Arabidopsis thaliana: one gene and its partners. The protein of the gene in region 4 interacts with the protein of the main gene of each other region in a pairwise test. Each region holds a gene or a part of one and is shown on either strand. Other genes may lie near its edges.

Evidence for each region.
Region 1: the proteins of RCAR1 (region 4) and AT5G51440 interact in binary tests that used the Arabidopsis thaliana proteins (3 or more experiments, as listed by UniProt).
Region 2: the proteins of RCAR1 (region 4) and AT2G26800 interact in binary tests that used the Arabidopsis thaliana proteins (3 or more experiments, as listed by UniProt).
Region 3: the proteins of RCAR1 (region 4) and LSU1 interact in binary tests that used the Arabidopsis thaliana proteins (3 or more experiments, as listed by UniProt).

The regions. Positions count from the first base shown.
Region 1 is NC_003076.8:20,887,598-20,894,910, reverse strand, and holds AT5G51440 (HSP20-like chaperones superfamily protein), read right to left. Parts: upstream 3,749-7,313; 5' UTR 3,670-3,748; coding exon 3,465-3,669; intron 3,326-3,464; coding exon 2,898-3,325; 3' UTR 2,495-2,897; downstream 1-2,494. Other genes in the region: RIN3 (RPM1 interacting protein 3), read right to left, coding at 435-556, 657-743, 1,040-1,117, 1,511-1,747; EYE (conserved oligomeric Golgi complex component-related / COG complex component-like protein), read left to right, coding at 4,116-4,400, 4,508-4,597, 4,687-4,806, 4,886-4,987, 5,083-5,363, 5,501-5,646, 6,053-6,251, 6,397-7,069 and 1 more.
Region 2 is NC_003071.7:11,427,358-11,437,156, forward strand, and holds AT2G26800 (Aldolase superfamily protein), read right to left. Parts: upstream 5,441-9,799; 5' UTR 5,211-5,440; intron 5,204-5,210; exon of another isoform or gene 4,957-5,203; 5' UTR 4,934-4,956; coding exon 4,665-4,933; exon of another isoform or gene 4,604-4,664; coding exon of another isoform or gene 4,575-4,603; coding exon 4,367-4,574; intron 4,178-4,366; coding exon 3,998-4,177; intron 3,443-3,997; coding exon 3,362-3,442; intron 3,275-3,361; coding exon 3,111-3,274; intron 2,665-3,110; coding exon 2,528-2,664; coding exon of another isoform or gene 2,499-2,527; exon of another isoform or gene 2,284-2,498; coding exon 2,168-2,283; intron 2,087-2,167; coding exon 1,835-2,086; 3' UTR 1,662-1,834; downstream 1-1,661. Other genes in the region: AT2G26790 (Pentatricopeptide repeat (PPR) superfamily protein), read right to left, coding at 1-312; AT2G26810 (Putative methyltransferase family protein), read right to left, coding at 6,543-6,687, 6,786-6,897, 7,076-7,177, 7,258-7,315, 7,397-7,470, 7,817-7,936, 8,450-8,517, 8,630-8,721. UniProt on the Arabidopsis thaliana protein: Involved in the catabolism of branched amino acids such as leucine.
Region 3 is NC_003074.8:18,372,852-18,379,292, reverse strand, and holds LSU1 (response to low sulfur 1), read left to right. Parts: upstream 1-3,352; 5' UTR 3,353-3,573; coding exon 3,574-3,858; 3' UTR 3,859-4,060; downstream 4,061-6,441. Other genes in the region: ATG13 (Autophagy-related protein 13), read right to left, coding at 32-1,401; LSU3 (response to low sulfur 3), read left to right, coding at 6,341-6,441.
Region 4 is NC_003070.9:138,834-145,942, reverse strand, and holds RCAR1 (regulatory component of ABA receptor 1), read right to left. Parts: upstream 4,074-7,109; 5' UTR 3,806-4,073; coding exon 3,662-3,805; intron 3,520-3,661; coding exon 3,304-3,519; intron 3,233-3,303; coding exon 3,029-3,232; 3' UTR 2,682-3,028; downstream 1-2,681. Other genes in the region: HTR12 (Histone superfamily protein), read right to left, coding at 543-598, 736-811, 939-1,016, 1,384-1,496, 1,592-1,628, 1,716-1,750, 1,834-1,879, 1,966-2,009 and 1 more; AT1G01355 (Putative endonuclease or glycosyl hydrolase), read right to left, coding at 6,375-6,455, 6,598-6,740, 6,829-7,080. UniProt on the Arabidopsis thaliana protein: Receptor for abscisic acid (ABA) required for ABA-mediated responses such as stomatal closure and germination inhibition.

The DNA of each region.
Region 1 (7,313 bases), on a different chromosome or scaffold from region 4:
AGAGGGTCTGGTGTATGAATTAAAAACTCCCTATTTTCTCCTCATTGAACTGCAGTATAATAAATACGGGAACTCTAGAACACAATATTTTCTCCGCTCACTACAGCATATGCACCCTCAGAACATACTAAAGCCTCTGTTTTATCTTAGCAGAAAATTACACTGCTTTCACTAGAACTATATGCATCATGAAAGTCATGTGCACCATTCAGAGACTTAGGGTTAATTTGTTTTGTCTCCTCTGATATACAACTATACTTTATTTTATTTTAAGAATATATATCTGGTTCCAGAGACAGAAACTAGGAGGAAAACTTTACACTCATATTTTGAAATAGAAGAAGGAAAATAGTGCACTCATATTAAAAAAAAAAAAGGGGTTGAAAAAGCCGCAACTCAAAATTTCACATGATACCAAAGAGTTAAGGAAATACCAGCACAAATCAGTAGAGAGAACCATGAACAGTGCTGAATACACACGAAAGTATGTCCAAGGAGTCGAAGAAGGAGATGCATTCAATCGATCAAGCCGATCTCTAGCCAAAGCTTGAAACATCTACACAACATTTTACTACACATTAGGGTGTCTAGAAAAAAAAATCAGCACTTCCTGATCATAAATCAAGAAAGCCAATTATGCAACCTGTATACCATACCTTTAGAGTACACAGAACAGTCAACCAGATTGTCCATAGGACCCCCTGAAATACTGTTCGTGGAACCACGAATGGCAGAAAAGTGCCCTAAAAACAGGAGTAACCAAGAAGGTTATTAACATGAAAATGGCACACATCTGCAAATAACTTAATTTTATGCAAACAGATCAGATATCCAATCGAATAATGTGGTAGAAATATATGCTCATGTACCATTAATGCTTGTCATTTTAAGTAGGATTTCGTCTTCATCCTTTTTTGCAATATATTCAGTAAAGGAGATAATAGAATATCCCAGATATCATAAAACTATATAAGTGACAGAAATTGTGGGTTGGTTTCCGTTGCACCCTACTGTCTTTCATCAAAGTACAAAAAACTACCTTGTAAATGATGTAATTGGCAAGCCTTTCCACCAGTTTTCTAGTTTCAATGGCATATAGATCTCCAAAAAACAGAGTCTGCAGGGAATATTAAGAGTTATCAGATCCTCACACAATGATTGAAAGACATTTCCCAAAACAGCTAGTCTATTATTACCCTACAAGTATGTGCAGACCCTTAAGGCAACAAATAGCATGGTATTTGGTTTCACGGAAGCCTTATAACTATCGAAAACCAAGAGTTTTTAAATCCTTCAGGTCAGAAATACTTGGTTCTTACACCACAACTCTTAACCCGCAGGTGCAAACTTATAATTCATGTATTTTCTAATAGCCAAACTACGAGCTTTACATTGAATTCCATCTAAAGGAAAGAACCATTCAAAAGATGTATATCTATTCTACGTAAGAATAAAGCTAGCCGACGAATATTGCTTAAACTTAACCTCGGAAGTAAAAGACCACTCTTACCTTGAGAGAAAGAACAAGAAGAATGTAGATATTGAGAACAAAACTTGCCAGCAATGCAATTGTAGTGTGAGAACTCAGAAGAAGCTCAAGGGTATTCTCAGAATTCCCTAAAGAAATGTTCTTGGTGATTATCCCATCAGCTCTAAGTCTATCAAGAGACAACTCCGTCCAGACTTGTAAACCCACAAAGCTCAAAGCTGTTGTTGCCACGGAAATGTGCAAATATGTTATCCCCATTAGAAACTATTATAGCCTTCTCACTCCGAATTAACCCACAGATTCTCATTTAGCATGACGTCCCCTGCATCAACATGATTTTGCATAAGCTAAGCAAACCAAAAGCTTATGTAAGTTAGAGAATTGAGTTAAAAAGTTTCAATTTTTTTATAACGTAGGCCAATCGAAGCAAGTAAAATTCAAAACCATGATCACGAAGTTCATAGGATACTGCAATTGAGAGAGATATGTATTAAATAAGTAAAATTGAAGAAACTGGGAAATTCAATTAACCAAAGGAGAGAGATGAGCTGAAAGATTGAGGTCAATAGAAGAAAATATGAAGATAATGGTGGATTCTGCAGAGAGCGAAATGGATCAAAACCTGAGTTCGCGATTGGAAAATTCTCCTCAGCACCGGCAATTGCGTCCTCTTTTTGTCTCTCTTTCTCGATGGACAAGGAAAAATGAAGAATATAAAATGCGGAAGAAAAAAACTCAAAATAATAAACCATGCGGTAAATAAAAAGTTACTTAAATTTGACGATGCCGACACGAACGAGTTCTATGGTCACCGAAGTGGTTCCAAAGAAGTAAAGCTATAAAGAGCGCGCTTTGCCAAACAGAGGTGAAAAAAAAACGGTAGCAAAATTCTCTAATAGTCTTGTCCCACAACCTTCTTCTGGTTGCTGAGACCTATATCAACATTTCCAGCACATTCAAAATCAGTTACTTGGTATCAATTTGATGTATCATCCCCTTATAAAACCGAGTTTGAACATCGAGAATGAGCATCGAATGTATCGTTGATCATGGCTCTGTCCAGCATGTTTGATAACACCACCATAGTCCATAGGTATAATGATAGAAAATCGTCCTAGCAGACTCTTTTTCTCCATAAATAATATCCAAATAACTTCAACTATATCATAGTTGCTACGATATTCATATCCAGAATCCGATATCAAGAATTTGGGAAACAAAATCCGAACCTATGATATGAAAGTAGTCAAACGTACATAGATCATTGATGTAACGAAAAAAGTCAAAATCCCGAACACATAGGACCGTGGGAAATGTCATTCTCCTTGATTCACCAAAGGACACCTTAAAGTTCACAAATTCACTCACTTACTTCCATTCCATCTCAAACAATCCAAAATAAAACACTCTAGTCAACGTTTATGTGACGAATATTGTTACGCTCATCCTCTTTAATCTTTGGAATCACCACTTTCAACACACCATTCTTCATTTCCGCCTTAATCTCATCAGTCTTGTATACTTTCTCCGGTAACTCAATCCTACTCGTAAACCTCCGTCCATCTCCAGAAACATCTTCTCCCTCCTCTGTTTCCCCTTCTCCTCTAATCACCAATGTGTTCTGTTCCAAAGCCAATTTCACATCCTCTCTGCTTAGTCCCGGCATATCTATCCTTAGATGCAACGCGTCGTCTTTCTCTTTCACGTTCCAACCACGTCTAACTCCAGAAGCTCCCATTCCACGAGTAGCTGATACCAAAGGGATTTCGCTTACCTGGTCCATGAAATTCAGCATCTGGCTCAAGCTTCTCGTTGGAGTAAACGGATCGAGTATATCTGTTTGAAAAAACAACCAAATTTTCAGATTCAACAGATCTCCAAAACAAAGTTAGATGTACTCTATACATAAATCACTAAACATGTATCAAATTGGGAAAATCTATAGCGAAATTGGACGGAGGAACCATGGATTTACGTGAGAAGAAATCGCCGCCGTGGCGAGAAACATGTCGGTTTGAGTGATGGTTCCTATCGACACCGTCTTCATAGTTTCTGGCGGCGTTGGTATTGAAGAGGCGAGATGAAGCAGCCACCGGACGAACGGCTCTTAAGGCGCGAGGGACGGCGACGGTGGAAGAAGAGAGAAGTCTCCTGAGAGCTAAAGCCGATGATGACGCCATTTTTGGAAAGAGAAGAAGCTTAGAATTAGCAAGTGATTAATTATTTTCAAGCTCGATGAGATATTTTTTATACTCTTTGAACGAAAAAAAAGCTGTTAGAGAAAGGTTTATATAGAACAGAGAGTAGAAGAAGCTGCTAGAGGCTAGAGAGTCGCTTAAGGATGGTTCTAGAACTGCGTGGTCTCCAAGTAAAATAAAGAAAAATAAAGAAAAAGAAAGAAGAAAACTTTTTCCGTGACGGCCCATCACTTTGGGGCCCAGATTTGTAAATTTATCTTCCGTTTACTTTGGTTTGGTTTTAAAGTCGAATTTGAAAGTCGGTTTAGATCGATTTGGTTTAGTTTCTTCTTCAGTGTATCTGCGAAATCAGAGGATCTTCTTCTCTTCAACATCATCATCGTCGAAGCTGAAGAGAATCTAAGGTAAATCGGGTGATCGGATCAAGGATGATGCTGGATCTAGGTCCATTCTCAGATGAGAAGTTCGATGCGAAGCGATGGGTTAACTCGTCGTGCCAGGCGCGTCACCCACAGGATTCACTCGAGAAACATCTTGTGGATCTGGAAATGAAGCTTCAGATTGCCTCCGAGGAGATCGGAGCTTCTCTTGAAGAGCAGAGCGGTGGTGCTCTCCTCCGTGTTCCTCGTGCCACACGAGACGTGTTGCGTCTCCGTGATGATGCTGTGTCTCTGCGTGGTTCTGTTGCTGGAATCCTCCAGAAGCTCAAGAAGGTACGCATTTGTGCTGATTCCTGAGATTTTGTTTGGATCTCTTCTCGAAAATTAGATTATATCAAATTCCTGAAACTTGTGCTCTTATCGAATTCGGTACTCTGCAGGCAGAGGGTTCTTCAGCAGATTGTATAGCTGCGCTTGCTAGAGTGGACAATGTCAAACAGAGAATGGAGGCTGCCTACAAAACACTACAGGTTAGTATTCATAGTGATTTTGTGATCCATTATGTGGACACTTGGGGGTAGATCTGCAATTGATTCTCTTCTTTTTGGTATATGTACAGGATGCTGCAGGGTTAACTCAGTTAAGCTCGACGGTTGAGGATGTATTTGCTAGTGGCGATCTTCCTCGTGCTGCAGAAACTCTTGCTAGCATGCGAAATTGCCTGTCTGCTGTTGGAGAGGTAGTTTTATGTCAGCTTCAGTACTCTGAGGATTTAAGTCTTTTTCCGTCACCACTTAAAGTCCAATTTTTGTCAACAGGTTGCAGAATTTGCTAATGTGAGAAAGCAACTAGAGGTATTGGAAGATAGGCTGGAGGCGATGGTGCAGCCACGTCTTACTGATGCATTAACATATCACAAGGTTGGAACCTGTATATCTAGAGAACCCAACTACTTTAGGTTGTAATGTCTCTGTTGCCATTATTGGACTGAAAAGCCTTTCCCCAAATTTGGCAGGTTGATGTCGCCCAAGATTTGCGAGTAATTCTCATCCGGATTGGGAGATTCAAGTCTCTGGAGTTGCAATATTCAAAAGTCCGTCTAAAGCCGATTAAACAACTCTGGGAAGATTTTGACACAAAGCAAAGGGCAAACAAGCTTGCCAATGAGAGAAGTGAAAGTCAAAGGTTGTCTAGCGGCGATGAGTTTCAGTCGACATCATCTCAGACATCATTTGCCAGTTGGCTGACAAGCTTTTACGACGAGTTGCTACTCTATCTTGAGCAAGAGTGGAAATGGTAAATGTTTTACTTTTATTTACAGTAAACTGTATATATTTTCCGGGCCCTTCCAGTGACAGTATGTCAGATCTTTAGGTGATTGCAGCTTTAAGTATCAATCACTGTTGTACGTTTTTGCTTTCATGATTGTTTAGGTGTATGGTTGCCTTCCCTGATGACTACATGACTCTCGTCCCAAAGCTGTTGGTTGAGACCATGGGAGTACTGGGGGCTAGTTTTGTTTCTCGTCTTAACCTTGCAACTGGAGATGCTGTTCCTGAAACAAAAGCACTCGCCAAAGGTTAGATATGATGTCAGTACAGTTTGATTATTAGGTTTCCTTCTTAGTCTAGTCTTTTTACCCAGCTGAATTGGGATTGCGTTGCTTCTTTAGTGGTTCTACTCTACCATCCTCATGTTTGGGTAGATAGATGTAAGAAGAGTATCACTTTTTTCTGCCTTTACATGAGCTAAAGTTTTTGGCTGTTCTTGTTAAGTTTGTAATTTTTGTGCATAGTGGCCGATGTCATGAATCTGTCAATATGCAAGAGAGACTTGCAGGAAGTTTGAACAACAACTTATTTGTTACATTTTTCATTTAGTCACTGGAAATTTTCCAGACAATGCACGATTATCTTCAATTGACTTATATCTGTATTTTGTGTATTTAGGAGAATACTGACAATTCTGATGTTTTCCTTGAACAGGTGTGATGGATCTATTATCTGGAGACTTGCCCAAGGGTATTAATATTCAGACCAAGCATCTTGAGGCTCTGATTGAACTGCACAACGTAACTGGTTCCTTTGCAAGAAATATTCAGCACCTGTTTGCGGAATCTGAACTTAGGATCTTAATAGATACGCTGAAGGCCGTGTACTCACCCTTTGAATCGTTTAAGCAAAAGTAAGTTTTCATGTTGTGTACTTCTCTTCCCCCATGTCTTGTATCCATTTCTAGTATTTATGGATTGTCCCATTTTTTTGATGAAACTTTTTTGGGTCGTGGTTCTTCAAGGCTGTTTGTGACATAAGGTTTGATCATGCTTTAGGTATGGGAAGATGGAACGTGCTATTTTATCCTCTGAGATTGCAGTGGTGGATCTGAGAGGGGCTGTTACTCGTGGTGTTGGGGCTCAAGGAATTGAACTCAGTGAAACAGTGCGTAGGATGGAAGAGTCTATTCCCCAAGTTGTTGTTCTTCTTGAAGCTGCAGTTGAAAGGTGTATTGGCTTTACTGGAGGGTCAGAGGCAGACGAGCTGATACTTGCATTAGATGACATAATGTTGCAGTATATCTCTATGCTTCAAGAAACACTCAAATCTTTGAGAGTTGTGTGTGGAGTGGATGGTACAGGTGATGGAGTTGGCTCAAAGAAAGATGCAAGTGCAGAGAAAAGGGAGAGCTCTCGCAAGATGGATTTGACTTCAAATGAGGAATGGTCCATTGTTCAAGGAGCACTTCAAATTCTTACTGTAGCTGATTGTCTCACGAGCAGGTCTTCTGTCTTTGAAGCCTCTTTGAGAGCAACTCTAGCTAGACTAAACTCCAGCTTGTCTATTTCATTATTTGGCACAAATTTGGATCACAACCTATCACATTTGAAAAGTGAACAAACTGCTGGAGATTTGTCTATGGCTGGACGAGCTTCCATGGATGTGGCAGCTATTCGGTTGGTTGATGTTCCGGAGAAGGCTCACAAACTATTAAACCTATTGGAGCAGGTAGTGAAAACCTGTAGGCTTGATTTACAAAGTTTCTGAATTAACTATTTGATATTTCATGCGTATCGATTCCCTTTTCCCTTTGATTTTTTGCAGTCCAAAGATCCACGATTCCACGCACTGCCTTTGGCGTCTCAGAGAGTTGCTGCATTTGCCGACACAGTCAATGAACTTGTCTATGACGTCCTTATATCAAAAGTCAGGCAACGTCTAGGGGAAGTATCTCGCCTACCAATCTGGTCTT
Region 2 (9,799 bases), on a different chromosome or scaffold from region 4:
CAAACCCCAAGTAGTAAGAATTCTGACAAGAGTTGCGTAAGCATTGACATTAGGGGACACACCATGTTCCTTAAGCTGTCGCAAAAACGACAAAGCGAGATTTGGGTCATCTCTGGTACTATTCAGGAGTCGCTGAAGACCATGTTGAGTAAGCTTGGAGAGATTAAGATGATTCACCTGCTGCTGCTCAGAGTCTGAGAGATTATTAGGATTGTTGAGAGCAGAGACGGCGTAGAAACGCGAAGAGGTGGCTGCTCTTCGTCGAGTCAATCGCAATTGTGAGAGTAAGAAGAAGGTTGGAGAAAACCGCATCAAAAATGGCGGATTTGATTGACAGAGTAATCGAAGAAGATGAGAGAATCTTTAAACCCTAAACCCATAACATTGGTCAGAACACTCCGATCCATTTAAATTAGCTAGTAAGTCTAAAATTGGTTTATGGATTTTTTCCATTAGTTCCAAATGTATTTAATTGCCAATCAAATTGAAGAAATAAATATTTGATATTTCATTTGCCCAAAAAAAAAAAATATATATATATATATTTGATATTTCTTTGATCCTTTGTTTTGTAGAAATTGAATTATCATGTAACCATTAAAAAAAATAAAATAAAAATAGATCTTTTGCATATGTTTTTTTTTTGGAACATTTGAGATATTATTAATTAGACGACAGAGTTATCACATTGTAAAACCTCTCTAATAGAGCTTGGTACATAGAAATGGAAGATTGAAAGCACATTGTCTTGTAGACTTTGTTTTGATAGGATGTCAGCACGTTTGTTTGACTCTCTTCTGATCCATTCAAATTGTAACTCTTTGAACCTTTGTGTCAATAACTGAATTTCTCGCAACCAATCTCAAAGTTCGTTGTCTTCTTTGTAAGAAGGTCATTCAGTTGTCGACAGTCACTTTCAAATACAACCTGTTGTATCCAATAGTTTTGCATAGCCAATATGAGAGCCTTGAACTCACTTTCTAACGCACTAGACGCATCTTATCCAATGTTATGTTCTGAGCTCAAGTAATTTCCATTACTATCTCTGATGATCCAACTGGCTTTAATCTCATCGAGTTACACTTCACCCAGCCACAGCTTGGTTTTTGCCTCCGAGATTGTCTATTTCATTACCCTCATCGAGATCTTTAACATATGTTATTATTCAAATTTTTAGAAACTAACATAAATTATTCAATCCACAAAGAAATTATTTTGTTGAAATTTGAAAAATGAGTAGGAAGCATGACTTTAATAAAGTTGGGTGGTAGTTCATTTGTTATAAAAATGACGAAAAAGAATACCAAATTGGTAGCGAAAATAAACAACATAACAAAACTAAATCATAAAACTAGTAATTTAATATTCTGGTAAACTGATTGTAGATCCGCGAAGATAGTGAAAACATTGTCCAAATGAAATAGATGGAAAAGGAGTTTATTGATTTTGATCTTGTTGTTGGACACGTCGTTTTTGTAAAATTCGTGCTTGTTCAGTCTCAAAATATACCATAACATTTGTTTTTTAAAGGAATTCCAATTACAAAATATTTTTTTTCTTTTTCTTTAGCTCATTCAAAGCATAATTTTATATGTATATATACATAATGAGTGTAATGTAAATAATATTATATTTTATGGAAACTTTGCAAAACTATAATATGTGGGGTCAAATTGTAAATTAGATAAATAAAATGTATTAGTATATAAAATAGAAATAGAATATTTTTTAAGAATATTCTTTTTAGAGTAGAAAATAGAGGGATAAATTGTAGAGAGTAACTCTATTTTCGAGTAAGATATAGAGCTATACATTGGAGATGGTCTAATAAAACTCATATCTTGGAGGCATCAGCTGTGATACGACGGTTGAGGGCAACGGCAGCCTTCGAACCATTGGGACGACCGAGATGCTTGCTGATGAAATCTCCAGCAGCTATAAGCTTTCCCAAGTCGACATTGGTGTGGACGCCTAAACCGTTCAACATGTAAACCACATCTTCTGTGGCTACATTTCCTGAAGCTCCTTTTGCATATGGGCAGCCGCCTAATCCGGCAATTGATGAGTCTACTATGCTTATTCCCATCTGTTTTTGCACCAATACATGTCAAACCATAAATGAAGTTATATTTATAATCAAATATTCTTCTATTAGTGCTTGACTTACCTGGAGAGACACCAATATGTTTGCAAGAGCTTGCCCATAGGTATCATGGAAGTGAACAGCCAGCTTGTCCGCTGGCACAACTGCCATCACGGCTTCAAGCATTGGAACCACAGAACCTGATTTGTTCAATTCACCAAACAGAGGGACTTGATTAATGAGAGACTCAACTCTCAACGAAAATGCGCATAAATCCAGCCCTCCCTATCTACTCTCTAACCAACTAACAACCGCTTTATTCATCTACATTCAGTCTAATAGATAATAACAGAGCTGCTAAATGTCTTCAGAGTTTATCACTCCCACATACAGTGCACATGCGTAATTGAATAAACTACACAAGATTTTCAGTAACGAAATTACCAGGAGTGCCGATTCCAATTGTATCACCCAGAGAAATCTCAAAGCAGCCCATGTCATAGAGTTCTTTCACAACATAAGCCACTTTTGAGGGTAGAACAGGTCCCTCTACTGGACACCCCACAACGCAAGATACATACCTTCAATATTGGGAAATAATCATAGACTGTTATTAGAACCAACTGTTTCTTCTATTAGTGTTTTGTTAGGGTCGGAGATTGGAAAAAAGGTTAATTCTATTCTACCACAAAAAAAAACACTCAATGGGTCCATAATATGATGCACTAAACCAGAACTGAACTACTTGAAGAAGCTTGATAGTAAATGAAGTTCGGACTAGAAAAACTGTACATGATCCAAAATCCATATTGTTACACGTACATTAAACACACAACTGAGATAAACACAACATAGGATTTTGGATCCATGCACAGTTTAATGTGTAAAATTATGATTTCCTCCAGCACAGAGGAACGAAAACTTGATTAGGTAAATAGTTACATTATATTCCCGCACCATTCTTGATAGATGCCATCTAGGAGGAACACATAGTGTACACAAGTAAGAAAAATTAGAAGAAACATACCCACGGACTGGAACCGAATGCTCCTTTGCAGCAGTGGCAACAACACGATATCTCAAGAGACTCTCTTCGATGGTACAGTTAATATTTGACAAGGAGAATGACTCAGAAGCCGATGCAAAGATTGCAACTTCCTTTGCACCTGCAGATACAGCCGCTTGAAAGCCCTAAAAAGAAGCAAGCACCCCATGTTAGTGTTCAACACCAAGAAACCAAGAATTGTTGGAGAGCCTTAAGAAATATATGATACAGACTTTTAGATTCGGTGTCAGAACCGGTAATCGAGCCCCATCTAAAGTATTTACTGCATCCATTACATCCTTTGCATCTGCAAGCTACAAGGCGAAATAGTATAAATGTCTGTTCAGTCAGATTAGTTTTACATAAGCATCCACTACAGATATTGTTTCTATACTCTAAATGCTACCATACTTCCTCTACTTGGAAAATGGTTTTCCCCATTATTTTACCTATCAAAAGCAATTTGAATATCTTGTAGCAATAACCATTGATTGTAACCAATAGAAATTCCCAGAAATGGATGCTTGGTGCTCAGTTTGAATTTAGGCACACGCAAGACCGTAAGATGTGTGATAAGACACTGTTTGCCAGTTTTATTTTTTTCAACACAGGTTCCTAAGTACACTACTGGTGAGATGCAAATCCCAACAAAACAAACTAAGAAATATATTGTTGCATCTTGAAAAACTATTTAGTTGCAGCTAACTCTACGAAGGGTTCCATTTTTATGAGAAATTTCTAAAAGTCTATCTACAATATAATATAGTCATTTCTTCAAAGTGGTCGCTTTATATGCTTAATTATACAATACACCAAACAGGAAAGTTCAGGAAAGATATAATTTATATACACCAGCATAACAGCATTACCTGGGGAACCCACTTTGGTGATACAAAACTTGTAGCCTCGACAACAGGCAATCCAGAAGAAACTAATCTCTGAATTAGTTCCACCTTTACAGATGTGGGTACTATATTTTTCTCATTCTGCAGGCCATCTCTTGGACCAACTTCTACAATCTTCACAAACTTTGGTATACCTTTAGAGATCTAAATTCCAAACAGAAAAAAAACAGAATAAGAGAGAAAAAAAAATGGTGGTTGTAGTGGGAAATTTTAAACAGAAATGAAAAAGATGAATCATTATACAAAACTATCCTACATAGACGGGGAACGAGGTATCTGTGGATATGTTTTATATAGAGGTCAAAAACTACTTTCCTCCATCGAGACAATTACCTTATTACTTATATGCGACGTGCCATTCTCATTGCTAAATGTGCTATACTTCTGCTCCTTAAAACTTTTGGATTCCCTTAAAGTCCCAGAAACAGTAGAAGTCCTTCCAGCAAACGAAATATTCCTAAACATATGCTCTCCTTCAGATAATTTCCGAGTATGCCTTCTCCACGGGAATGACTCTTTAGCAAAGCTTTTATCATCATCACTGTAAGTTAACATACATTTCAAGAGCATAAGAAACAAAAAGTTGTCATATGAAAGGAAAACAAAGATTGATATATATTTTCAAACTCACATGCAACTGTTAGAGGTAGTGCAATCTCTTCCTTCAATCCAACGGTGTCCCATACCGACATCATCCCTGGGGCGACAAGCACCGGAAGAAAATCTCTGAATCCTATCCATAGTGCTCATACTTGGCAACTTGTCAAAGCTTAGCGGCTCCTCCAAACTCGACATGGTGAAAAAATGTGAGACTGGAATAGAAGGATGATGCAAATGAGTGTTGTTTGTTAATCTCTTGCACCATATAGAATGGGCTCGTCTCACCCCATTCCATTGCATTTTTCAGCAATAGTTTGAGTTCTCTGGAGAAAATGGTCAGGTCCATTGCTCAAAAAATATGTTCAAATATACCACAAATTATCATTCAAATTCCAAAATCGATTCTCTACTAATTATCCGGAAAATCAATAAATTCAACATGAATTTCACAAAATTAGGAAAAATGTTCTCCGATTAGAACAGAATCGTGCTGCAAAAATCATCGCTCTTTGTGATCAGCCCTAACATTCTATTGAATTCGATCAGCGTAAGAGATAACGAAGAGTCTGAAATTTACCGTGATTAATTCCTCCGGAGGTTTAATTCCGATGAAGAATCTCAGGCAATGAGATTCGTCGTTTTTCCGGTGACGTGAAGAAGACGGAGAATGAAGAAGGGACGCGTCAAGTTTATCTCCACTAATTCTGGTTGGGAGGGGTCCTTTTGGAGTTGGAAGATGACCAACATTTAATTTAGACCTCAATCAATTTATAACATGTTTTTTTTCTTTCCTTCTTTACTGATTGGACAACAAATTTTTAATTGAGTAAACTGTATAGTGTAACTTAAGTTATTATATGGTGGAAATTTATTTGAATAAAATTGACCCTAACCAAGTGGTGTGTGGTAGTCCTTGTTTTAAATAAATAATATTGGTTTAAACTTTAAATACTAAAATGAGTAAAAAAAAAAGCCTATATTTCTTGTTACGAAAAAATAGATCGTGTATTTTTTTGTGGGAATAGAAATTATGTGGTGTATTTTTATTAAATACTTTCCCCAAAAATAAATAACATGGTTATTTTATTTTATGATATTAAACGATTTGTTAAAACATTAGTAAAATATATCTTTTACGTACTTACGATATTACTATAGTAGTAAAACTTTGCAAACTTAAGTCCCAATATCTTTTTTTTTCGAATATCAACTAAAGTCCCAATATCTTCAGTCTGCACCTACCTAAATGACACTTTCAGATAAAATAAGACTGAAAAATAATGTAAGAGATAAATAAAATAAGACTGAAAATAATATGGAAGATACAATAAGACTGAAAATAATATGGAAGATAAAAAAGACTGAAAATGACAAAGAAGATAAAATAAGACTGAAAATACTGTAGAATATAAAACAAGACTGAAAAATAATAGGGAAAATAAAATAAGACTGAAAAATGATTTAGAATATAAAATAAGAATGAAAATACCGACAAAAGAAAAATAAGAATGAAAATAATATAGAAGATATAATAAGACTGAAAAATAATGTAAAAGATAAAAAAAAAAAACTGAAAAATAATATAGAAGATAAAATAAGACTGAAAAATATTTACTTTTAAAGTCACGCAGGATAAAGATGATCCATTGATGTGGAAAACAAAAAGAATGATATACATGAAAACTGATAAGTAGGTGAAGTCAAGAAATTGGACATGACAACTATCATAAAGGAGATATGATAGTTGCAACAGTTTTTCAGCTAACAATGTGGATTCACTTCAAAGCATCCACAAATGTCATTGTATACTTTTTGAACTGTAACTTTAGTAAACGTTTCACCAAAAATGTATGCATCTAAATAACATAAAAATAATGTTACAAAATTCTGAGGTATCAAAGGAACTAAGTTACTCGAACACAATTCCTCTCTTCTTTTGAAGTGTGATTTCATATATGACCCCTTCCAAGTTTCCTACGGTACACCGAGTCCCAGAAACTTCATTCATCAGCATCCCGTGCTGAGCGCCTTCTCTCAAGATTGCAGAATCCATCCTGAAATAACGTTTCAGATAGTTTATTCTCTGACTCGTATGAAACTTGCAGTTATACTTATATGAGAAAAATGCAAAAGTTTTAGCTGACAAACTTACTGTCTAGCCCGTGATACGTATGCTAGTATGAATTTGCAGTTTCCTTGTCCCCTGATCCGCAGAAGCTGCTCAACACTGTCAAATAGCAATGGCACACTTGATTGCTGAAAGCTTACGTAATGTCAAGGTTTTCTTTTTCATTCCGGTGTAAATTATAGGAGTGCCCATGACGGTTTAACTGATGAAAACTGAACAGAAGATCCGGACCAAAACTTCAACTACGGATAAAACTAAGATCAACCACTGTCCTAGCGGATAGATAAAGAATTCGTTAACGAACATAAGGATATAGATATCAGCTCCAAGAATAAGATCAAAGCCATCATTGTGTTTCTTTAAAATTTGACCAAGCTGATCACTATTTCCCCATTCAAGCTTTGCAGCCTCTAATTCTGTAGGTAGAAATGAGAAACAGAACACATCAATAATATGAACAATGAGAGTCAATAGCTTAGTTGATTTTCTTTCTCACCAGCTGAGGGTTTGGGACCACTTGAATGTCCATGAAGGTCAATGTTTTTCTTCAGTATCTGAAAAGTTCATTTAAAAGACCTCATTATATTCTACCAATGTTGAATTCCCATATCAAATCTTCAGTAACGTAATCTTGCCTTGAGCACTTCATCGTTGTGGTCAGTAAAAATAACTTTACGGCAAAATTTGCTACATAGGACTCCAGTTATACCTGTGTTATAAAAGATTACAGATCAGTTTTACACAGGAACGAAAACCGGAAAAAAATAAAAACAGTATGTTCTCAAAGACAAAAGAAAGAGCACAAATATAAGAGTTTATACATGTGAATGATGGTGAAGTCAGCCAAGCAGAGTATGCAAAGACCATATTTGTATATACAGCATATCTAACAGGGAGTGATGATGTTACAATACATAACATCTCTAACTGAAATTTGAAGACGCATGCACAAGTAGTGATTAGCCATTACATACTAGGATAAACAAGATACATACAGAGTGTGAGAGTGGTCCAATCGAAATGGAAAATGGTAGGGGGAAATAAACAGCACTTACCAACGCCAGATCCCAACTCCAAAACTGAACATCCCTGGAGAATGTCAGCATTTTCTGAGAGATAACCATTCATAAGCATCGCACCAGGCCAAACCAGCTGCCCTGTTAAATCAAAATCAGCTGTCCAAGAAACATTTTAGACATAGCTTTATGATAAACACTACAAGGGTTTAGATAAAAAAAAAAATATATCTCTGAACTCATTGTTCTTATTTAGTCTTTCAATGGCATTAGAAGTTAAAAGAATACACCAGCCTAGAATACAGATAAGTAACTCCAGATTGACTATTTCAAGAGCATATAAACAGTTCATAGTCAAAAATAATTGATGAAGAAATTCACAAAAAGGGTATCTGAATCTCATATTTAGTCTTCCAATGGCAATAAAAGTTCAAAGAATACACCAGCCTAGAATATAGCTCAGTGACACAAGATTGACTAATGATAACTATATGAAGATTCGAAGAGTATAGAAACAACAAAAGTTCTCCATGGCCAATAAAATCTTTGTTAATCAGCTTACTTATAACACAAACCTCAAAACTTAACCAATAAAGTTTGCTCCTTTATTATCTAAAGAACAAAAATACAATGCAACATTGATACAAAAATCAAAATAAAGATGAAACTCACTTGAAGCTGATTGGAGACAGTAGAGCTCAAGAACATGAGAACCAAACGTAAACTTCGTCAACTGATAACTGCATCCGACAAAGACAAAACAAACATGTATATTGAGAAAACCAAAAGCAGACACTTGATCTAAGTTTAAAAACCAAATAAAACAAACATTTGTTTGTGTAACAAAATTACTCATCGTTGATGAAGAAAGACTCCAAGCAGACTATCTCTTCTTCTTCTTCTTCAACAATTGCTTCTCTACCTTTATCACTTTCACTGCCCATCTTTGACTACAGTATACAGTCAGAATCAGATATTTCAGATCCCAAGCTTCGAAGTGTGTTCCAACAAATCAAATTCGAAAATAACAACACATCAGCTAAGGGAATCGACGAAGAAAGGTATTGATTGACAAATACCTCCTCTTTGTTACTTTGTTAGAGAATTGCGCTTGTTGATGACTACAGCTGCGGCGGTTCCGTCGGAACTGTGAAAAGTAATTAGATTTTTAGAGCAGACCAAACCCATGTTTTTTCGGTTATCTGATATTAACCGGTTTGAGAGAAAAATACACTAAAATACAGCAAAAAACTATATAAATTAATGTTCGATTAATTAATAAATTTTATAAATTAATAAAAAATTTCGGTCCGATCCATGTAAAAATTGACACAAATTGATAAAATAATAAGATAATATTTTTTTTGAAAATTCTATGTAAAATCTCATTAATATCATAAATTAATAATTGTATAAACTTATCAATATATATATACATATATCATTTATATATAATATGAATATAAAATATTATTCTATATATCATATATGTACACACCAAATTATTCTATAGTAATTTAGGTATGTAAAATATTATATTTAAAATAATTTAGTGAAATATAACTCTAATATTTTTTATTTTTTAAAAATTTGTATTAATTTTTGGTTGAATTTATTTTTAACGTTTTTACCATATCGAAAAAGGTGTGTTATTTTCTAAACTTAATAATTATTTTTTTACTTATATTTGGTTTTAAAAAGCTGATATTCGATTATAAAGAGAAAAACTATTTTGAAATATAATTTTTGTAAAAGTTATCAAATTAATAAAATCTTTCTATAAATTAATAATTAATTTATTAATAATTTAATGTCTCTATACGTTAATAGAATTTTGAAATATATTAATTTTTGTAAAGATTTTACTGTAATTAATTCCTATCCTTTTCTTTTCTGACTTCAATAAACTTAAATCACGAACAATAAGAGTCAATCTTTTTGCGTTTCGTTATTTTATGATCATCATATGTTCGATAATAAACTTAAACTCATCTGCTTGGATATATAACGAAATGAAGTGTT
Region 3 (6,441 bases), on a different chromosome or scaffold from region 4:
TAAATCAACAAAATATCAGATGAGGCAATACAAAATATAGTGATATTTTTCTTGCATTGAGCAAGACACATAAGATGTAAGAAGCATAACCTTTTGAGTAGGGTACTGGTTCATTAATCCAGAAGGAGACTCTCCGCTTCTAGAACTCCTGTACAACGCAATCCCAGGCAAAGAGTCCTGCGATGAAGGGGAGCGTCTTGTGCTTTTGGGGGAAAAAGGAGGAAGTGGATTCCTACCTGGCTCAGAGAAGTTAGATGAAACGTATCTATTTAACGTGGCTGAAGAAGGAATGGTCACTGGAGCAGTCCCTGGTCTCACATTAATGCGCGGACTGTTACCCCCAGATATGTATCTTGGAGTAGATGGAGAACCCGATGGTGAAAAGGGAGGTGAAAGCTGGTGATTGTCACCAAAAGCATCTGTACGTGACCAGTGGAAATCGTGTAACCCAGGTGACAACTGATGAGACTGAGCTGGCGAAAAAGATTGGTTCGGTGTTGCGAATTGAGCTGGAGGTCTGTGAAAGCCGCTAGTCCAGCTATGCGGACGTTCTGCAGATGAACCAGTCAATGGAGGCCGACCAGCTCTACCAGTAAAGGAATGGCCTTCAACACTTCTCCCTGGAGAAGGGAAAAACCTCATAGGATCTGTTGCAGGACTTCCCACATAATCAGTTATAATCCTCGGAGGCAATGTGATATGAGCACCGAGATTAAAATCAGATAAGTCAGAACGGTAAGTAACCGATGCACAAAGACGACCAGGAGGCACTTCAACAGGAGCAAAACGAAACTCTTTCATTGTTTCCGTCACAGGACCAGAGAATATGTCACTGAAAGATGAAACCTTGTAAATCAAATCATAACCAGAAGAAGCAAGAGAAGAACTCAGCTGCCTAGAGACACGATAAGCAGGAAGAAGCCGAGTCTGTGCATAAAGAGACCGCAACAGAATGATAGATTTCTTGTAAACCTTCTGGTAACGCGTTGCAGAGTCAGAACTCTGAGGAGACATAATCAAAGGATTCTCATATTGAACAACCCAACGCTCAATCACAGTCTCAGCTGATCTAACAACAGAATCACTATGATCATCATCATCATCCAAATTATCGTTTGAAATCGGATGGACAAGAATGATATCAATAATCATAGAATCCAGAATATTCCTATGCCAAGAATGCAATTTCTCCAACGCAGCAGGACGATCTCCCATCACAAGATTAAACCATTTGTCACTTTTTCTAACGTTAAGACCTGATAAACGCTCACGAGTACGACCACGAGATTGCAACGAAGGGATTCTGGAATTAAGAACTATGTGTAATGCTTTTGGGAAGAAATGAGAAACAATCTGCTCTAATCTTCCTATATCTGAAGGCAAATTCTCTGGAAAATCCATCTTCTTCACACAAATCCCTAAATCGAAACAATTCTAAAAATATCTCACACAAATCCCTAAGAAATATCCAAATCCGAAACTGATCTATGAGAACGGAGATCACGAATCGTTGTTTTGGGAGAAGGATCTAGAAATACAAAGCTTAAGATGATTAAGGTGATTAAGAGATGAAGAAAGTGTAGAGAGATAAATTACAGATAGTTAGGGTTACCGTGAGGAAGAGAGTTTGATAATAGAAGCTTTTATGTGAAGATCTGAGACGTCAACGATGGCGTGAGTGTGTTTTACACGCAGATGACGATGATGATGATCAACATAAACAAAAAGAGTTTCAGAGGTAGAAGAAACACACACGATCACGATTTGAGAACACTGTGAAATTACTAATTAAATTAATATTGAATTCAACCAATGATAAATAGCCACGTCTTTGTTCTCTTTTGTTTTTCTCGTTTTACCCTTATCTTGTTGCCTCAATTACAGGAGACAATAGGTCTCGTTAATCTTAATGTACTATACTGTGAAATTACTAATTAATATTCGACTCTTGTGAATGCAGCCAATGAAGAATAGCCACGTCCTTGTTATCCTTTGTTGAATTTTTGTTTTCTTCTGGTTTTACAGGAGACAAGACAATAGGCTCTTAATGTATACAGTGAACCTGAATCTCACGCGCTTTTTTGGTAGAGAAGGTGAAGCAAATGCGCCAAGTCGGATGTTTAAGTATATGGGCTTACTGTTTAAGCATTAGGCCCAACATTTCTAGATAATTGGAACACTTTTTTTTTTTTTTTGTAAACCAGATAATATGTATTTGCAATCATCACTATGGAATGAGTTCAAAACCATTGGTTTTTTGAAGTTATGGACTACGTAGCTAACATTTTAAAACCTACAGATTTTTATTTTATTTTAAATGTTATATGTTATATTGTATCATTACAAGAGAAAGCGATTCTTACAATGTAGTTTAGTCTTCTAACAACTGTTATTATTACTGTTGTGAAAAATATGTATTCAAACTAACATACTGCATGTTATCAACAAATGTATAAGTTGTAAATGTCTATTATATATTCTCTATGTTCCTAAAAGAATGATGTTTTGGGTTTTTCACCCAAATTAAGAAAATTAACTTTTATGTTATTTATATTATTTTTTTGTTAATTTAATAATATAATTTCTACTTCTTTCCTCTCTCTATTAGTCATTAATAAAAATAATAATAATATTAACCTAAGAAATCAATTTTTATGGAACAAAAAAAAATCTAAAACATCAAATTTCATGGAACAGGAGAAATATATTTTTGGTGATAGTACACTAATTTTCTATTTTATAGTGGTTGTAGATGTATGATGTCGTGAAATATCCCATAATAGTTCTTCAATCATAATATAAGTAACGCAATATTAAGCGGCAGCGTTTTCCCAAATTATTAACTTGTTAGTTAATAATCTAAAGAATAAATCCTTGTCACAAACTCACAATATCACAAGAAAGTGAGAAACACTATAGTGATTGGCTTCAGACGTCACCTATTTCAAGCCCTACTAACTCAATAATGTAATCAATATATACCACATACATACATCAGAGATCAGACCAACACATTTTTATTACAAATTTGACGGACCAGAGATTTATAAATAATTAAATTGAATTTGTGTAAACCACGGCATTAGAATTATTAATTACTATTCTATTTACACGTTAACATATATTTATCCATTTATCAATTTATAGTTGTATAGACGGCAATTTGTTTATTAATTTTAAAGTTAAAACTAGTTAATAACATGGATAAACCGGAAATTTCGAAATTAATTTGGTTTAAGTTTCATATAAAAAATATTTAAATCGAACCTAGCGAAACTGTGATAAAAAAACGAAAAAAAAAAATTGAACATTCGAAAAAAATAGTAAATTTTCTCTTTTGGGGTGGTCTATGCATACATAAGCCATGAGTATGTTTAAGTTTCAAGTAAGGAGAAAATATTGACCGAAATCAAAAGTGAGGAGAAATAAAAATCAAGAAGCAGATACATTGAACCTGGACATGCAAAAGCTACACAAAGCGCCTATTAAAGAAACATAATCAAACCCTAACACTCAACAAATCAAGAAACAAAGTTAGAACCACAATCAAATCCTTTTACACAAAGAATCTTAATGGCGAACCGAGGAGGATGCGTGACGGTGGCGGCGGAAGAGATGGATGAGCTAAGGAGGAGGAACATAGAGCTCTCGAGAGAAGTGGCGGAGATGAAGACAGAAATGATTAAGTTGTGGCAGCGAACGGTTGTGGCGGAGGAGGCGGAAGAGCAACTCTGCTCGCAGCTGGCGGAGCTGGAGGTCGAGTCTTTAGAACAGGCACGTGACTATCACGATCGCATGCTCTTCCTCATGGATCAAATCTCTCGTCTCTCTTCTTCTTCTGTCGTCTCTTCCTCGTAGAATAAGATATTTCTCATAAGTTATGTATAGTTGTGTATGTGACAATCACTATACATGTATATAGATCGATGGTAATATGTTATGTTTTCAACATAAATTAAATGTTTGAATCCATTTCTAGTGAATAAATTAGAATTTCTGATAATCATACAAATTGTTGAACTCCATTTCTAATGAATTAGTATTTCTGGTACTAGTTGCATATTTTGTCTTGACTTTTAATTACAAAAGTTCTTATGGAAGCAAATAATATTTTGGAATGATACCATGTTTAAGTAATGAAGTAATAATATATGAGTGAGATCTAATGTCAATCTTAACTATCAAAATAATTTTATGGAACTAGTAGGTATTGGAGACTCGAAGGGGATCGAAGAACTTTGAAGTTTAAATTCCATGAAATCCTACATTACCATAATTTTCAAAGGAATCGTAGAAGAGTTAATTGAAACTTGAGTGTAGAAAAAAATAAAGGGTTTTTGGGTACATGAGTTTCATGGAAATTTTCCACAACTTCAGGATTTTTTTTTTGTGGTCAATGGAAACCGTAGGAGAGAATGGTTCAATGATTTTTCTATGGAACCATAACAATAGTCTTTAGGGGACGTGAAACATGAAATTGTGTAAGTTTTCCATTGGTTCAAGGGTCATTTTCTGTTTCTATTTCATTTAATTATATATTTATTTTGTTAATATAAAAAAAAATCATTTAAAATAGTATGAAGATATGTGGTGCTGGCAAATTAAGAGGAATATTGACATTCGATTTTGACGTGATTTTGTTTGTTTTGCTGTTAATTAACTGTTTTGATCATAATAAATTTGAGATAGTATCCGTTGACGATGAGAATATGCCATGCGTAGATTTAAAATTATTACCATTTCTTATTTAATCAACAACGGTACCGGAGTAAACCATGCCTGCCAAAAATGAATTGAAACTTCAATTGTTTCAAGAAAGATGTGTGTGTGTGTGTTTTTTTCATTCTAAACAAAGTTGAACCAAATTAGAATAAATTAAACCGAAGTGAGCCAGTATGTAATTTTGGAAGACTAAACCGGACAAGAAAGCAGATACATTGAACCTGGACAGTATAGGAACTCAATCAAATTGTATGGTCTAAAATGTGATCATCCCACGCTCCGAATTTGTTCATGTCGCAGCTTTTTTTGGCATTTTGTAATAATTGGGCAAACGATTATTCATGATTTTTTTTTCTTCTTTGGCTTTTTTCTTATGCTACTTTATCCCTGATTTTGATATCTCTTGAAAAGAAGGATCTACCATTATTGGAATCATTTGTCTACGATATCGACTATCGAATTTGACTGTTTACAAAGCTATAATTCTTTTGATATCGGGTGACCAAACTGTAATTAATTAACTATAGTTCCATGAACAATTTAGGAAATAGAGATAGCTTAGACTTTGGCCTAGATTAATGGGTTTAATGACTAATATTGGTGGATTCAAGAATAATGAATTAGTAGGAATAATCGTTACGTGTTTCATTGGTGCGACGGCCATTGACTTGGGATAAGTAGAAGTGGTCCACTGGAGGCACGAAGAAATGGGATATGACAATTACATCGACGTGATTGGTGACGTCACCCATATGTATCTCCACGACGTTCACCGATTCCTAATATTCAACTAATTCGCATAATACTAATTAACGTCTTAATATGATTTTCTAATTTTTTGTGTATCTAATAATTATGGTGATGATGATAAAAGAAATTTGACATCTTAATAAGCTATTAAGGAATATAACTATAAGATTTTTGCCTAATCACTATGAGCAAATTATATGAAAATTTTGATAGAATATGAGATTTTCTCTTAAATGTGTCAAATTTGGGATATAGGATACATATCTACAATAGGCCAGATATACTTATACTATCATGCATGGATATGTATGTACTGATGTTGCATTTTCTAGATTAATGTAATAAAACAGCCCCCAAAAAACATTTTAAACCTATTAGGTTACTAGTATATATATCTAATTAATATTCGTCATCATTAGTGTGGTATATCTTTGTGTATTTGATTTTGTATAAATAATTATCTACTTTTGTGTGTTTACATATTAGTATAATACTAGTTCATATCTAAATTATATATTTTCTGATAACGATACCTAATTTATATTTTAATCTAAATGTTTTTTTTTTTAATGTTAAATATTGCTTGAAGATAATTCTAGATGCAGATATTCAAAAGGAATAAATTATTGTGATAGTCTTGCATGATATGTACCACGTGCAGTAGACAGACAATGATGTCGACAAAAAAAAAAAGAAGAGAACACGAGATACATTGAACCTAGACACTTTGCAATCCCAAATACCAAAACTCAAAATATGCCTATTAAAAGGACCATCAACACATAGAAGAGAATTTAACAGTTTAACACAAGAAGCAGCAAAACCACCTAACTCAAATTGTTGTCTATATACAAGAAACATAATCATAATGGGAAAAGGAGGAGGTTATGTGACGGTGGCGGCGGAAGAAGTGGAGGAGTTACGGAGGAGGAACGGAGAGTTGGAGAGAGAAATGGAGGAGATGAAGAA
Region 4 (7,109 bases):
AATCAATATGAATTATTTAAATTTGAAGTGCTAAGGATATCTCAACCTTTTTAATATGCCTTGACAAGTTGTAATTGGGAATCCACTCGTCACTCGTCTGAGAGATATTTCTACTAAAGCCCTCCCAAAACACATGTTCTTTCAAATCTTCCTCTTACTTTTTTTTTCTTCTTTCAATCACAACCCTTTCTAACTGAGGCTTCAAATTATATATACATGAACCTTTGGAAGTTAGAACTTAACGAAAGAAACGTTTTTGTCAAGTGGAATCTCAATGGAAAACAATCAGATCCAACGAAAAGCAGATAGAAACACACATAGAGAAAGAAGTTTTACAGCCTAGATATTGGAATCAAACCAAATTCGGGTTTCCAGTTATGTTTCAAAAGAAGGTTTTGGTCAGATCATTTAGTAAAATAAAAGGACATGCATCACCAAGAGACAAGGAGAGAATAACCTTATACAACCTACGACACACTTGTTGTTAACTATTCGATCCTCACTTACAATGTAAGAGATGTGAATAGTGAGTGAGTTTTCTATCACCATGGTCTGCCTTTTCCTCCAAGCCGGCGTGCAAGTTCAAAGTCTTTTCTCACTGATATGAACAAAAAACAGATATAGATAAGCATTTTATATATGATATTCAAGTAACTAATGATTCAAAGGGATATAAAATGTATGCTTGTGATTCCTAAGTTGAGACTGAAAAATGTCTTCTTTTAGAGTACTTACTTAGAGTAACACGTCTTGCATGGATAGCACAGAGCATTGAATCTGAGAACAAACCAACCAAGTAATCTTCTGCCGCCTACCACAAAGAATTTGTGTGATTAGGTTGATTGGTCATCAAGGGGAATGACATTAGTTGAAATGTGTGACTATCTCTATATCTATATTCATACATTCGTATAAAGAAAAAGTTGAAGGATTGGTACCTCTTGAAGAGCAACAAGAGCTTCAGCTGTCCAACGATTGATTTGGGGAGGGGCCAACATATGGGTTATACTTCTCACCTGGAAAAACAATGTAAAATAGTTTGTTTGTAACACAAATCAGCATTTCCACATCACTGACGATTCATGTTGAGTTTTGTAGCTACAGGAATCATATGGTTCTGAATCTATGAGCTCATAACCTCAAAGACAAACTAGATTACACACTCCTTAAACAAGGAGGGTTGGCCTCACGATTACTCTGAATTTTAGTTAAATTGCTATATCACTCACTATGTACACTGCATTGATGCTCAGATATGTGTGGGGTGTGCAAATCCTAAAACTAGCCACATTAAACACCAAAAGGCTTGTGCCTCTGTTAGTATATATGAATATTGTTAAGCTGTGAAACTTATTATGGCTGGTAAGAAAAAGAGTAACTAACTTCTCTTATGAAACTGGCAGCCGGAATAAGAAGGTTTGTCTGCTTCTGGAAATGGCGAATCTCTTTTAGAGCAACGGTTCCTGGCCTGTATCGATAAGACTTCTTCTGTGAGCCTACAAGGACAACACCGAAGATTAGTTTTAAACACACTAAGTGTCCTGTATTCTCAGGGATATCACAAGAGATTGGTTTTTTTTTTAAAACAAACCTCGTGGCATAGCCTGTCTGGATCTCTTAGCCCCTCTCTTGACAAACCAAAACGAGAATTTTGTCAGCTTAATAACGAAATCAAAGTTGAAGCAGTTCATAAGCAATGGTCACAAAAATCTTACCCTTGTACCAGTAGCTGGTGAAGTTGTAGGATTTGCTGCAGATGTTACAAAAGAATAACTTCACAAACAAAAGAGATGAAAAGAGGGAAAAAAAAGACTTCAAATATAAAAAACTCACTTTGTTGAGTATTATCTCCACCTTCACCGCCTCTCCTTGTCGGGGTCTTCAATTTCGATAGATAAACAAATTTGATCATAACGATAAAAGGAAGAAACATTGGAAACCCTAAGACGGAAAAAGATGCCGTACCGTAGTTGGACCTGCCGCCTGAGAAGATGAAGCACCGGCGGCATCTACAAATTTCAGATTCGAAATCTAGGGTTAACAAAATCGAAATAAAAAACCTAAAATTCTGGGTAAAATCAGAAGTAAAAATTGAAAGAGAAAGCAGATTTAAGATACCAGTTTGATTCCGAGGTTGTGACCTGGTAACGCGATGCTTGGTTCTCGCCATTGATTTTTACTGCTGGAGAAATCGCACCATGAGAGAGAGAGAGGAATCGTAAAATCGGAAAAGAGAATCGACGAAAACTGCGATTATGAAAGTCACCTGCTGAGAAATTTCCCGCTAGATACGAAAAGATTAGAAGATTGGAGCGGAACTTTTACTTTCCCGCTCGACACTCAAATTTTGATTTTAAAATCGAATCTGCTTCACAATTTGTTTCAGTCAAGAGTCTCTCTGAACAACTTATTACAATTTGCACTAAACCTGTGGCTTCACATAGAGGGTTCGACTCGATTGTTAGCCTTCTTTAGTTCCTGTTTTACCCCTGGTCTGTATACAATATTACATTCAAATATGTACCTGTTTGTTTAGATGAAAATTGGAAACAGAGGGGAATAGGTTTTGTGTGTTTTACCGTTAAACCTCAATTCAAAATCTTTGTCTCTCTCTCTCTCTCCCAATTTATGCTCATCTTTTCAAGTTAATGAAATTGACACAGTTTTTCAACTTTCTGCCTCAGATTCTTTACAAGTTCTCAGCATCCAATCATAGGTTCTGTTCAATAGAGAAGTGGAATCTGAAGTCTACAGAAACATCTTTTGTGAACTATATATTATACATCATAAACCATTCACATTTACATTGTTTACAAAAATATCTACAAATAACAAACCACCAGGAGATATCTTACATCAAAACTTCACCATTGGGACAATATGTACATCTTTTTAGACTGGTCATTACCGAGGATAGATATCTATATATATATCTAGGCCAAACCAAAAAAATCCTGAAGAATATTGATTATATCACAAACTGGAATTGATACTTCACTTCAATGCCCTTGTTCATTGATTATGTAGTTCACTGAGTAATGTCCTGAGAAGCCAATCTTTCAGAAACATCTGCTAGTGACTTGAGATTACATCTGATAAGTGCTTCAACAAAGTAGCAAGTCTCATCCTTTGTGTTACCTTGAGGAACATCAACTACAAACGATTCAATCACCATCGTTCCTGCTCTTCCCTCGATTATCTCCGGATGAACCGTCAAAATCGACGAGTAATTCTGCAAACAAACAATCAATGAGAATCTGCATATAAACAAACATCAATGAGATTTGATTTCTCTCGCTGTACCTTAAGTCTGTGATCACCACCGATGATTTTGATACCGAGGATGTGTTCTTCATCATCAAGAAGTTCTAATCTCTCAGTAGATGTTGTTGCAGGAAGACCAGATTTAACATTGACTTCTCTAAGACTGCCGATTTCAGGATCACCGATTACTGTACATCTGCTCACAAACGGTTTGTATTTCTGCGGCTGATCAAATCTCCGTACAAGTGACCAAACCTAAAAAAAATCAATTATAATCAATCGTTAAACAGAGATTTGGGGGAAAAAACCCTAAATCGATGGTTGGGATCAAAATTGACGGATCATGGAGAAAATGGTACGAAAAGGGTGAAATTAGTGGTAGATTGGAGAAGCTTACGAGATGAAGAGGAGCTTTGATGTGTTTGACAAGAGCAGAGGTACACTGGTTTTCTCTGCACAGATGTTGATGATGCGTCCGTACGTATTGCACCGTCTCGAGACCACCGTACATCGCCGTGCCGCCTTCAACGCCGTCCATCATATCTCTCTCTCTCTCTCTCTCTTTCGTTCTTCGTTGTTATCTCACAAGGGAGAATCTCTGGAAATGGATAATAAATACAAGGAAGAAGAAGAAGATGCTTCGTTATGCCAAAACAAAATTACTTGTTTATGTTTTTTGGTTTCTTTTAATGAACCCACCGACATAATAACTTTTTACTTTTGTACCTAAACTCTTTTTTATAGCTTCCTTCTTCTCCTTCACACATTTTCAGCTTTTCAAACCAAACAAAAACACAACAAGATACTAATTTTTTAATGTAACAAAAAAACAAAATATTTAAGCAAGTTTTATTGTATGACGTTTTGGGGACCTATATAATCCGAACAAAACAAAACAGATTGCTTAGATAATTATTTGTTTTGATTAGGTAAGATCGTTTCAAACTTTATAGATAGTTTTGTTAATTTAAATTCAATTTTAGACCATATTCATTATAATAGCTAATTTTTTAGACACAAAATGTCGTTAATATACCAGAAATTTATAAATGAGTGATTCTCCATGTATCAGGTCTCATATGTCTTAGACCACATCTTATTAGATATAGCTCTCGTTGCCTTTAAACCTTGTTGTTAAACATTAATTAATTGTATCAAGCTAAATGTCTAACACCATATCCTATCTGCAAAGTGACTGTTCCATGTAGTCATGTACGACACGTAAGGTGTAATTTCTCTTCTAGGAGGAGAAGGCATTTCTACAAGAAGATTGGTACAAGGCATCCACAATCTAAAATCATGAAACAAGAACTTTAATCTGTTTGAGACAAAGTCCTTAATTATATCATACCGAATGTAGACAAACTAGTTTTTGTTAAATTGTATTTGTTGTGAATCACACCTCATACGAAGGAAAGATGAGATACCACAAAGAATCTACAATAAATCATCATTCGATTCATCTCCACTAGTCTAAAGTTGCCCCTCCTCCATCTTCTTCGTGAAACTCAAGCTTTCGAAACATATGGTGGAAGTCACTTTTGATAACCACCGCCGCTAATTACGCTTTCTAACCAGTAATATTAATGGATTACTATATAATTAGTGAATTCTATTTCTTTCTTTTTTGAATTCTACTTTTGTTTTTCCCAAAGGAGAAAAGACTCACCTTTACTTGGTTTTCTCAAACAAAAACAACATAATCACTTTTTAGATAAATCTAGTTAAATGATTACTTATCTAATTATCTTCTAACATATGTATTAATTATGGTTTAAGGTTTTCATAACGAACAATCTTCCGATTTTGTAACCATTTTAAACAACACATATAATTGTAACCGGAGGTTTTCTTGTTCAATATGAATATGGTTTATGCTTACATATCTCATTAATTGTCTGAAATTGACGTTATGATAAAATAGGGATTTAGTTTATATATAACATTTTCTGCAATCATATTTTTTAAAAAATGTTAAGTGATAATATAGTACTTAAAAGAGCGGTAATTGACGATAATTACAGTAACCTTATCAGATAAAAATTTACCCAAAACAAAGCTTATCGGATAGGATCACCTTTGGCACTAGCTAGGCATGCGAACTTAAACGCAAAAGACGACTTTGGCGTAAATTATTAACTGCTTCAAGATAAAAACAAGGAGCCTTTTTAGTGACAGCGACAATGAGCTAAATACGGTTAAATAATAGGAAACCAATATACGTGTCATATTTTCATTGGTTTATTGTCTGTCATTTTCATGTTCACGTATTATGTCGTTTCTCGTGAACTTGACACGTGTAATTCTTCTTTTTGTTCATTTGGATAACTTTTTTGCCGGCCAATAGGTTCCGAATCTTTTCGAATTAACCAATACCACAAAAAAAACAGACGGAAGTGAAAGAAAAAAAGACAACATTAACGACATTCTTCTGATAATGCTGGCAGTAAAAAGTTATGAATTTATCGTTTCATTCATTTGTCCTGGTTTAATCTAACTTTGACTGTTTCAACAAATTTAACAAAAGGAAAAAGCTTCAAATTTAGATGAACCAAAGAAGGCCCAATCTTTAAAGACCATCACAATATGGGCAAACGAATACAAGCAAAAACAGCTTCGGCTTATAGTTTACTAGAACTGAGAAAGAAGAAAGTATTTGCAACCATTGTTTCTGGTGGGCTTTGCGAAATCTAAAGGTCTGAAAACACACACAAAACCATTGGGTTCTGTTGAATCTGATTTTACATTTTTAAGTATTAGCCAGCTTGTTATGCTCTTTGTAGTTATTTTAAGCTGAGATATGACCAGTTTCTAGTTGCATCTCTAGCATATGTATCTGGAACTCTAACACAATTCAAACAAGTCATCATTTTCTCACCAGTTGCTTTTGTTGTTGCAGTTCATTGGGACAAAATCTCCAAAAAAGCAAATTCGTTGGAGAAATCAGTAACATTAACTCACACAACTCTTACTACTACTCATAGCTTAAGATAACACCATTATTATCAGTTAACACACAAAGAAAACCAGAGTTTACGAGGATTTAGAAGATGTTGAACATAAAAAGGATTAGATAGCTTAAGATAACATTAACACACACACAACTCTTACTACTCTTCTTCGTCGTCTTCAGAGTCTCGTACGTAGTCGTCTCCATCGGTTTCATCATCTTCGTTACGGTAGTATTGAGACTGCTCATTGACAAAACAAAATATGGGGTCAAATTTAGGCAAAACATAACTGGAAGAATTAAGTGAGAAAGGGAAACTCGCGGTAAGAGGTTGTTGACTCAAATGGACACAACAAGTCTGCGTTTTTGGCTAGGATGCTTACTTCATGTGCATGTTCTTCACTCTTGAGATGCGTGGAGAAGTTTTCAAAGCCTTGGACAGTAAATCTGCATTGCTCACAAAGCAAGGCAGGTTCACCCATCTCGCCGCACTTGTCCTCCTGAGGTGCCCCTGAATCCATATCATCTGCGTCCGTGGAGATAACTAGGTCAGACACAGCTTAACTATTTCAACACTGTACTGAGTGTGAGAGAGAGAGAGAGAGGACAAGGACCTGCTGCTGGTAAGCTTGCCAGTAAGCTTTCCCAGAGGAAAGACCCTGTAGAAGGGGAGGCGGAGGATGCGGCTTGTTGAGGATCATCTGGAAGAATAGACCGAACAGTGTTGTATCCGATCCTACCTAGCATGTCAAGAGTGGTCAAGTAGATATGCTCGTACGATATGAGCATTAAATTAGCCGGAGGTTGATTATACCAGGTCCACTTAACCACAGCCCACCCAATCCCTGAGAGAGCTGTTTCGGAAACTATAAGACTTAAAAACAAAAACAAAAAG